2 linked regions of the Macaca fascicularis genome follow. The protein of the gene in region 2 purifies or fractionates together with the protein of the main gene of each other region. This does not show direct contact. Links are inferred from orthologs where the notes say so. Each region holds a gene or a part of one and is shown on either strand. Other genes may lie near its edges.

Region 1 (3,802 bases), on a different chromosome or scaffold from region 2:
CAAATAGACCCTGCCGAAGGCACCCTGGCCCAGGAGCTTTCCCCGGCGCCAATTGATGGGGGCACTGGGAGCTACAGGAGAGCAGAAGGAAAGAGTTACTTTGTGTACATTATTTATGAATATCCCCTTCATTCTCCAGGAACAGGGCCTCTGGCTCAGGCTCCCCCTCACCCAGCACCATCACATCTTCTCTTAGAAGAGCATCTCCACCACAATCTAGAGCAAGCCCAGAGCCCTAGTCACTCGGACCTGAAGTCAGAGTCTTAAGAAGCAGAGGATTGGCTGAAGTCATGATTAAATGCTCTTCTGCATTGATAAATACATTTCCTTCCAAAGCCCCTAAATATCTTAATATGGCAGGGATGAAGGGTGTCCTCTTCCCTAGTTTAAACATGGAAAAACTAAAGATCAGAGAGGAGAAGAGGCTCATCACACAACAGTGGAGCCAGGCTTCAGGCACTCCAAGGCTTATCCCGTGTGGTGCATGTGGGCCAAAGCCACCACCTGCTGAGCCTAAGGGTCCAAGGGGCCCAGCTGTTATGCCCCTGTAGCTTGTCTGAGACCGCCTTGGCAGTCTCCTCCTAGCCAGGGACAGCTCCTCACACTTGGTTGGCACATTCCTCTCCTGCACAGAGAGGGCATTCTCGCTGTCTGCACTCCGCAGGCGCCCACGGGGGTCCAGGTATTGCACAGCCAGACCCATGTTCTCGCCATTTGTGCTCAGGGAGCGGCTGGAGGGCACCAGGGTGAACAAGTTGCCTTGATGACGCCGTATTCGGGGAAATGTTCTTCTGCCTGAAAGGGTGCAAGGGCCAGAGTAGAGCAAGTCACACCCCGGGCTACAAGGCTGAATGTACAAACCAGGTCTGAGCCAGAAGTGATAGATAATACCAGCTCCAGCCCATCCTGTCTGCCCTCCCACCTGACTCATTCCACAGAGGCTGCTGTCCCAAGCACTCCAAGAATCAGGACAAAAGCAGAAACTAGGAAGTAGTCTGGTTCAGGGAGATCCGGCCAGAGGGAAGGTGCATGGCTGGCCCGCGGGCTCCCAATTGCTTGGAAGGCCAAGCCACACCCAAAGGCACCGATTTCCTTGTATCCTACTCCTTACCCCTCTGTAGAGCCCCAGGCCACCTGCTGCTGTGGGGCAGAAGAGGGCATGGGAGAGATGGTGTCCCTGGAGCACACCATTGGCTCCAACCAAGGTCAGAGTTCCCAGTGGCAGCATTCTGGTCTACAAATACTATCTTCCCTGTTTTTGTTTTTTTCCTGTCTCCCGTGCCTCAAGTCTGAGCCACAATTCCTCAGGAATGAAGGAAAATACAGGCATTGCATGGACGAGCCCACCCTCCTTATGGCGGCTCGTCCTTTCTTGAGGCAGCCAGCAGGGAGCAGGTGAAGGAGCACTCACCATCACTGTAGTCCTTGTGGTGCACAGACACATGGTAGCGGCGGGGGTAGGTTCCACCTTTGACCCCTTTGTCATAGAGCTGAGTTTCCCGATCTGAGTAAGATGGGGGAATCACTGGCTTCTGGGTAGGTCAATGTGAGCCACTTAAGCCCCCAAGCCCCCAAGTCACCTAAGACCTCAAAGCAGCAAGCCCAAGGAGAGCTACTGACTCAGAACAGTTGAAGCAGAGCCACCTGAGGCCCCACCCAGACCCCCTGCATTGCCCACCCAGGCTCTGTGAACTCACCTGAGTATTCCTGTCTATTGTCAGGGAAGCTCTGGGCACGGGACATTCGTGATTTCCGGAAGGACGGGCTGGAGAAAACAAAAAGAAAAAACGGACTCCCTGAACATTTCTACAGCAACCCAGCAGGGCATCCAGGCAGTCTCCCTTTCTAATCTTTGCCACAGCGTTAGGTGGGGGAAGCAGATTTTGCGGGAAACAGCCCTTTCCTGAGCCCAGCTCCTGCTTTCTCCACTCTCCCTTCACTAGTCTGTGACCCAAATTTGACAGCACCCTGAGTGGTAAATCTCCCCCATCTGACCCAACTCCAGCCTGGCTGCACAGCCTTCTCCCTCCTTGGCCTTTCTTCCCACCTCTGTAACAAGAAAAGAGCTCCAAGAGAATCCTTTGCCCAGGGAGTAATAAAAATAGCCACAGCATCATTGTTTATAGGTTGCTGCTTTCTTACCTATTTTCTAAAGTGAGTTTTTTCTCATTTAATCCTCAGAACGCTCTGAAGTAGCAAATATACCATATAATAAAAATAACATAATAGCAGATCCACTTGTTGAGCAGCTATGCTGTTTCTGAGTTCACAGACACCCCTACAGATTAGGTATACATAGTCCTATTTACTTGCTCAAAGACAGAGCTAGGAAGACAGGGCCAGACTTTTTTTTTTTTTTTTTTGACACCGAGTCTCGCTCTGCTGCCAGGCTGGAGTGCAGTAGCACAATCTCAGCTTACTGCAACCTCCACCTCACGGGTTCAAGCGATTCTCCTGCCTCAGTCTCCCAAGTAGCTGTGACTACAGGCACGCGCCACTGGCCAGGATGATCTCGATCTCTTGACCTTGTGATCTGCCCGCCTCGGCCTCCCAAAGTGCTGGGATTACAGGCATGAGCCACCGCACCCAGCCCCAGACTTTCTTTTTTTTTTTTTGAGATGGAGTCTCGCTCTGTCACCCAGGCTGGAGTGCAGTGGTGCAATCTTGGCTCACTGCAACCTCCGCCTCCTGGGTTCAAGTTATTCTCCTGCCTTGGCCTCCCAAGTAGCTGGGACTACAAGCACGTGCCACCATGCCCGGCTAATTTTTTTGCTTTTTTTTTGAGACAGAGTCTCACACTGTTGCCCGGGCTGGAGTGCAATGGGGCGATCTCGGTTCACTGCAACCTCTGCCTCCTGCGTTCAAGTGATTCTCCTGCCTCAGCCTCCCAAGGAGCTGGGATTACAGGCGCCCGCCACCAAGTCCAGCTATTTTTTTTATTTTTTAGTAGAGACAGGGTTTCACTATGTTGGCCAGGCTGGTCTTGAACTCCTGACCTCGTGATCCACCCACCTCGGCCTTCCAAAGTGCTGGGATTACCAGGCGTGAGCCACTGCACTTGTTTTTTTTTGTTGTTGTTGTTGTTGTTGTTTTGCATTTTTAGCAGAGATGGGGTTTCCCTATGCCTGTCAGGCTGGTCTCGAATTCCTGACCTCAGGTGATTCGCCTGCCTCGGCTTCCCAAAGTGCTGGGATTATAGGTGTGAGCCACTGTGCCTCAAGGCCAGACTTTAAATCCAGGTCTCTGACCCCAAAGTCTATGTTCTTGCTGCTAAACCAGGCATCTTTCTTTCAGCTTAATCACCACCATCCCATTTCGGAGATGGGGAAACTCAGGAACAGAGAGGTTAAAAGACTTGTCTGAAGCCATTCAACTAATATTTGGTGGAGCTGGGACTGCATCTAGGTTTGTCTGACTCCAGATCTCATGCCCCTTCCCAGATTCCATGAAGGGAAGATGAGAGCCCTGAGCCCAAGTCAGGCTGGACCTCAAGGAAGTAAGTCCAGGTCATTCACAATGAGAAGAAAAGAAAGTACTGTAGGGACAGAGGAAAAAACCCAAGAATACAGAGGCAGGTAAATGTAGCTATCTTTCCCAGCATCCACCTGAATGGCCCTTTCCCTTATACAAGAGTGCTTACTGGCCTTTTGCGGCGGCCACAGGTTTGAAACTCTCAAGGCAGTGGCACAGGGGGGCTGCCCCCTCGTTTCCCAACTACTAGACCTTCCGTAGTCCTCTTCTCTCCCCTTTCCCCTCCAAAGCTTAGGAGATAGTCCAAAGCCAGAGTCAATCCCTGTCTTGG
Region 2 (4,255 bases):
AGCGGTGCGCGCCCCCCCCACCCCAGCCCATGTCTCCCCGTCCTGCTCTATGTTCTCATTTGCTTCCTGTGTGGCTCAGTCTCCCGGGCTCTCTCCTTCCTTCTGCCCTGCAGCAGCAGGGAGCTGACACAAACACTGGCCAGATCTGGGCCCGAAGAGGCAACAGGAACGTGAGGGCAGAGACCGTCTGACCCACTCAGCCACCCAGCACTTTCATGCCAGCGTGCCACCGCACTGCCACCTCCTTTCCCACACCGTCCCATGCCCCTCAGTCCTGGCCCTCTGCGTCGCTACCCCCCACTTCCCACCTGGGTGCTTCTGGGGTTGGGTCACCTCCACCCCGAGTTTCCAGGCAGCTGGCCTCCTCCAGCTGAGTGAGGGCGTCCGGGTCTGCACATGACCAGCCCCAGCCTCCAGTGCTCACTTTCCCCTTTCACTTGCCCCACCTGGCTGCACCCTCCTCCTCCAGGGAGCAAGGCTGGGGGCAACGGGGGATCTGTAGAAGACTAAGGGCTTGGTGGGTCCCTCTCCACAGGTTCCTCCCACATGAGCCACACAGAGGGCCTGGTGAAGTCCTCGGTGCCCACCCACCGAGAAGGCCAGACCGAGACACACGCAGCCAACAGTTCTCGGCCCTCCCCACATGCCCTCCCTGATCCCGCAGGGCGTCGGTCCAGGAGATGCTGTGACACCATGGTCAAAGCAACGGGCACTGGGCTCAGACAGAGCTCGGTTCAAATTCCATTTCTGCCACTTTACAGCTGTGTACCTGCCCTCCCAGCCTCCAGTTTCTCGAAAACTGGAGTAGAGCCGGACCCTCGTCTGGAAGGAGCCAAGAGAAGATGCACCTGTCAAGAGGGAAGGCGCCCCAGACAGTAGTTCCTCTGCTGAGCAGACCATGGAGACTGAGGAAGGGGGAGAGGCCGGCCCAGGCTGTGTCGTGGTGACCAGAGTCCCATTCCTTCTGCTTCGTCCACAGCTACCACATATCCAGAGCCCTGGCAGTGCCTGAGCCAGTCCCATGCCAAGGCAGGGAGCGGCTGCATCCCAGAGCCAGGCTGCCCATGCTTCCTGGCCAGGAATCCCTTCAACCGCATCTTCCTCCTTTCCCCAAACTGCTCATTCCTTGTCCAACCAGCTGGCCGAGAGTCACACCAACCATGGGGTGCCAGGCCCTATGCGGGAGGGTGGGGACATGTGATGGCTGAACGCGAATCTGACCTGGGAGGAGCTAGGAACCTGGTGGGGGACACAGGCAGACGGAGGGGCAGGAGCCCCACCAATCGCCACTCAATCTGCCAAAGGCACTTTTCGGTGGGTGCCAAAGACCCTGAACTTTTCCATTCACTTCCAGAAATATCGTGACACTTGGCCCCAGTGGGCTACGGTGGAAGTCACTTCACTAGAGACCCTCAGGTTGAGGCATCAGGTTGGGGTGCCGACTCCTGGCCCCTCCCCTCCCTCGACCAGGCTACCCATACCACTGCTCCCCATCAGGACACGGGGCCCGGGGCTTCCACAGAGAACTATGAATGCCCAGAGCAGTGAAGTCAGGATATTCCCAATAGAGAGGCACAGGAAAGGGGTCTAGGAAGGGAGAAGCCCAAAGAGAAGGAATGAGGAAAAGGGAGGCTCCTCACGTGGCGAGGGCTAGGGGGCCTGTGTGTGCCCAGGAAGGGGTCGGAGGGGTGGTGAGAAAGGAGGGCAGACAGGCTGGGCGGCGTGAAATTCCTGAGCAAGCAAGCAGCCCTCCACCCCGAAGAGCAGGGTGGGATCCAGCAGGCCCCTCTCCTGGACTCCAGACTCAGCCCCAGCTGACCACTCTGGCCTGGCTCAAGACAACCATATCTTGACAGCTGGACCCCAGTGGGGATTAGGAGACGATGGCCTAGCCTCCCTCTCTCCTGCTTCCCCATTGAGCTCCGAAGTCTGTGGTCCACAAACTGCTAGAAAGCTCTTTACCGGACCTAGATCGGACCCGCCTCTCCAGCGCTTCCTCAACCCCAAGTCATTTGAAAGCACAATAACCCCGCCCCCACCCCCGCCATGCACTCTGTGAACCTGGTCCGGCCTCATCGACTTCGCCTCTCCACTTGCCAGGGCTTGCTGGGGTGCGTCAGGCCCCTTCTCACCCCAGGCCTTTGTACATCGGACTCCCTCTTCTTGGAACGCTCCTCCTGCACGTCCCGGGACTGGCTACTTCTCCATCAGGCCTTTGGCTAACGGTAGCGCCGCCCGCACCCCCGACCAGTACTCACTTTTTCAGCACCCTCTTTCTTTCTTTCACAGCACATACCGCCGCTCCCCACGATTTTGACTATCTCTTGTCCATCCCACCACCCTGTCTGTCTAGACCGGGAATAAGGGGGAGTTGTCTCGCAGGAGACATTTGTTATCGCAATTGAGGAAGAGCGGGTGTTTACTGGTATCTAGCGGCCAGGAGCCAGGCAGGCTGCTCCACATCCTACAATGTACAGGGCAGCCCCCCGCAGCAAAGAGCGACCCGGACCGCGTGGTCGATGGTGCGGAGGTTGGGGAACCCTGCAGCAGATGCCGATCACAGGAGAACTGGGACCGTGTTCTCCGCAGTCTCCCGGCGGCCAGAACAGTGCCTGGCACCCGGGCGGCTCGGGGAATGCAGGAAAAAGGAATGAGTAAAGAACGCGCGAGAACACGACGGAGCGAGGGACGGACAACTGACAGGCGGACGGACAGCTACGCGGACTCCGACTCCGACCCGGACCCGGACCCCGACCCCGACCGTCTCAGCCCCGCCCCCGCCCCCCCCCCCGCCCGACCCCTCGCCTCGCCTCGCCACGACCTCGACGCGCCCGATCCCGCCCCACTGCGCGGCCCCGAGGCGCGAGCTCCGGGTCGGGCGCGCCGCGGGGACACTCACCCGCCCGCGGCCGCCCGGGAGCGGCAGCACTGCCAGCCCGCTTCATGATGCCCCCTCGGCCGCCGGCCGGGAAAGGGACGGGACGCGCGAGCCGGAAGCGCTCGGCCGCTGCGCCCGCCGGGACTTGTAGTTCCCCACCTCTCGGGGCCCGGTCGGCTGCCTCACGCGCGGCATTTCCGAAACTACGACTTCCGGCGGCCTCGTCGTCGCGGGGCGGGATTGGCGGCTTCAGAATCACTCTATGTTGCAGATTGATGTCTGATTGGCTTTGCTCATCCGTCACTCACTGTTAGGCTTTACGGACTCTGCATAAGGGAGGAGCTTCGGTTCTGGGTCCGAGAGACCGCTGCCAAAAGAAATGCCACGGTACGATTGGTGGAAACAACGCGGTAGGGAGCGGGGCGTACTAGCGTCAGGGGAAGGCGGGCACTTCCGCCAGGATAGCCCAATGACAGAGGTGGGAAAGTTTCTATAAAAGCTTGAGCCTCGTGCGCCTCCTTTCTTTTGCGGTCGAGTGCGAAGCTGGCGGGTTGTGTTAATGCGTACGCCATGTGCTAAGATCCAGGGAAGAACTGGGCCACGAGCGTGGCTTTGAGGGCGGCCTGAAAGCTGCAGGCCGGCCCGGTCCCCGGGCGTCCAGCCTTGGCCTAGGCTCCACTTTGTCCCTTAGTGTTTAAACGTTTCTTCCTGAATCTCAGACCCTCAGCTACCTGCAGGTAAGACTGGGCCGGGTCTGGGTTCCCCTATTCTCCAAGCCTGTGATGAATTGCTTTGACTTCTGACACCTCGTATGAAAACTGCACGTGCAGTCTGATTATTTTGCAAGACTGAGGCTTGGGGGTGCTCACTCTTGACGGAGACGGGCTGAGAATGGAAACAAGTGTTGCCCGAAACGAGGGAGTGGGGACTTATTGTCTACGTTTTGGCGCTGTCTGACTTTCAGGTTTCGTCGCCAGCCGGCTGCAAATTTTGAACCTAAGTGAACCTCAATCCGGAGGGCCGAGCGGTAAGGTGGGCGTTGTGGCAATTGAAGTGCTTAGCAATAAAGCAAAGGTAGTGAGTTGATTCGGTTTTCTCTCAAGTGTCTTTATTTTCTTATTCTTCTGGCACCCCGGAGGTCTGGCTTATCCACAGGCAATCTTGGGAAAGTGTACAGACATGAAAACGGAACGGAAACTCGTTACCAGTGACTTTCCATCTCTTGGGATTGCCTTCGCCATTTCTGCCCGTAATTTTTTTTTTTTTTAGACAGTTTCACTCTTGTTTCCCAGGTTGAAGTGCGATGGCACAACCACCGCCTCAAGCGATTTTCCTGCCTGAGCCGCCTAAGTAACTGGGATGACAGGCGCCTACCAC

The links.
Region 1: the proteins of TRAF7 (region 2) and MAP3K3 purify together in Homo sapiens (affinity purification with mass spectrometry; 5 studies listed by BioGRID and IntAct, with this or other methods). This does not show direct contact. The link is inferred for Macaca fascicularis from reciprocal best matches to the Homo sapiens genes TRAF7 and MAP3K3.

What each region holds. Positions count from the first base shown.
Region 1 is NC_088390.1:70,192,448-70,196,249, reverse strand, and holds part of MAP3K3 (mitogen-activated protein kinase kinase kinase 3), read right to left. Parts: intron 1,766-3,802; coding exon 1,698-1,765; intron 1,505-1,697; coding exon 1,412-1,504; intron 796-1,411; coding exon 604-795; intron 72-603; coding exon 1-71. UniProt on the Homo sapiens protein: Component of a protein kinase signal transduction cascade. Mediates activation of the NF-kappa-B, AP1 and DDIT3 transcriptional regulators.
Region 2 is NC_088394.1:2,923,572-2,927,826, reverse strand, and holds the start of TRAF7 (E3 ubiquitin-protein ligase TRAF7), read right to left. Parts: upstream 2,984-4,255; 5' UTR 2,900-2,983; intron 2,729-2,899; exon of another isoform or gene 2,259-2,728; intron 1-2,258. UniProt on the Homo sapiens protein: E3 ubiquitin and SUMO-protein ligase that plays a role in different biological processes such as innate immunity, inflammation or apoptosis. Potentiates MAP3K3-mediated activation of JUN/AP1 and DDIT3 transcriptional regulators.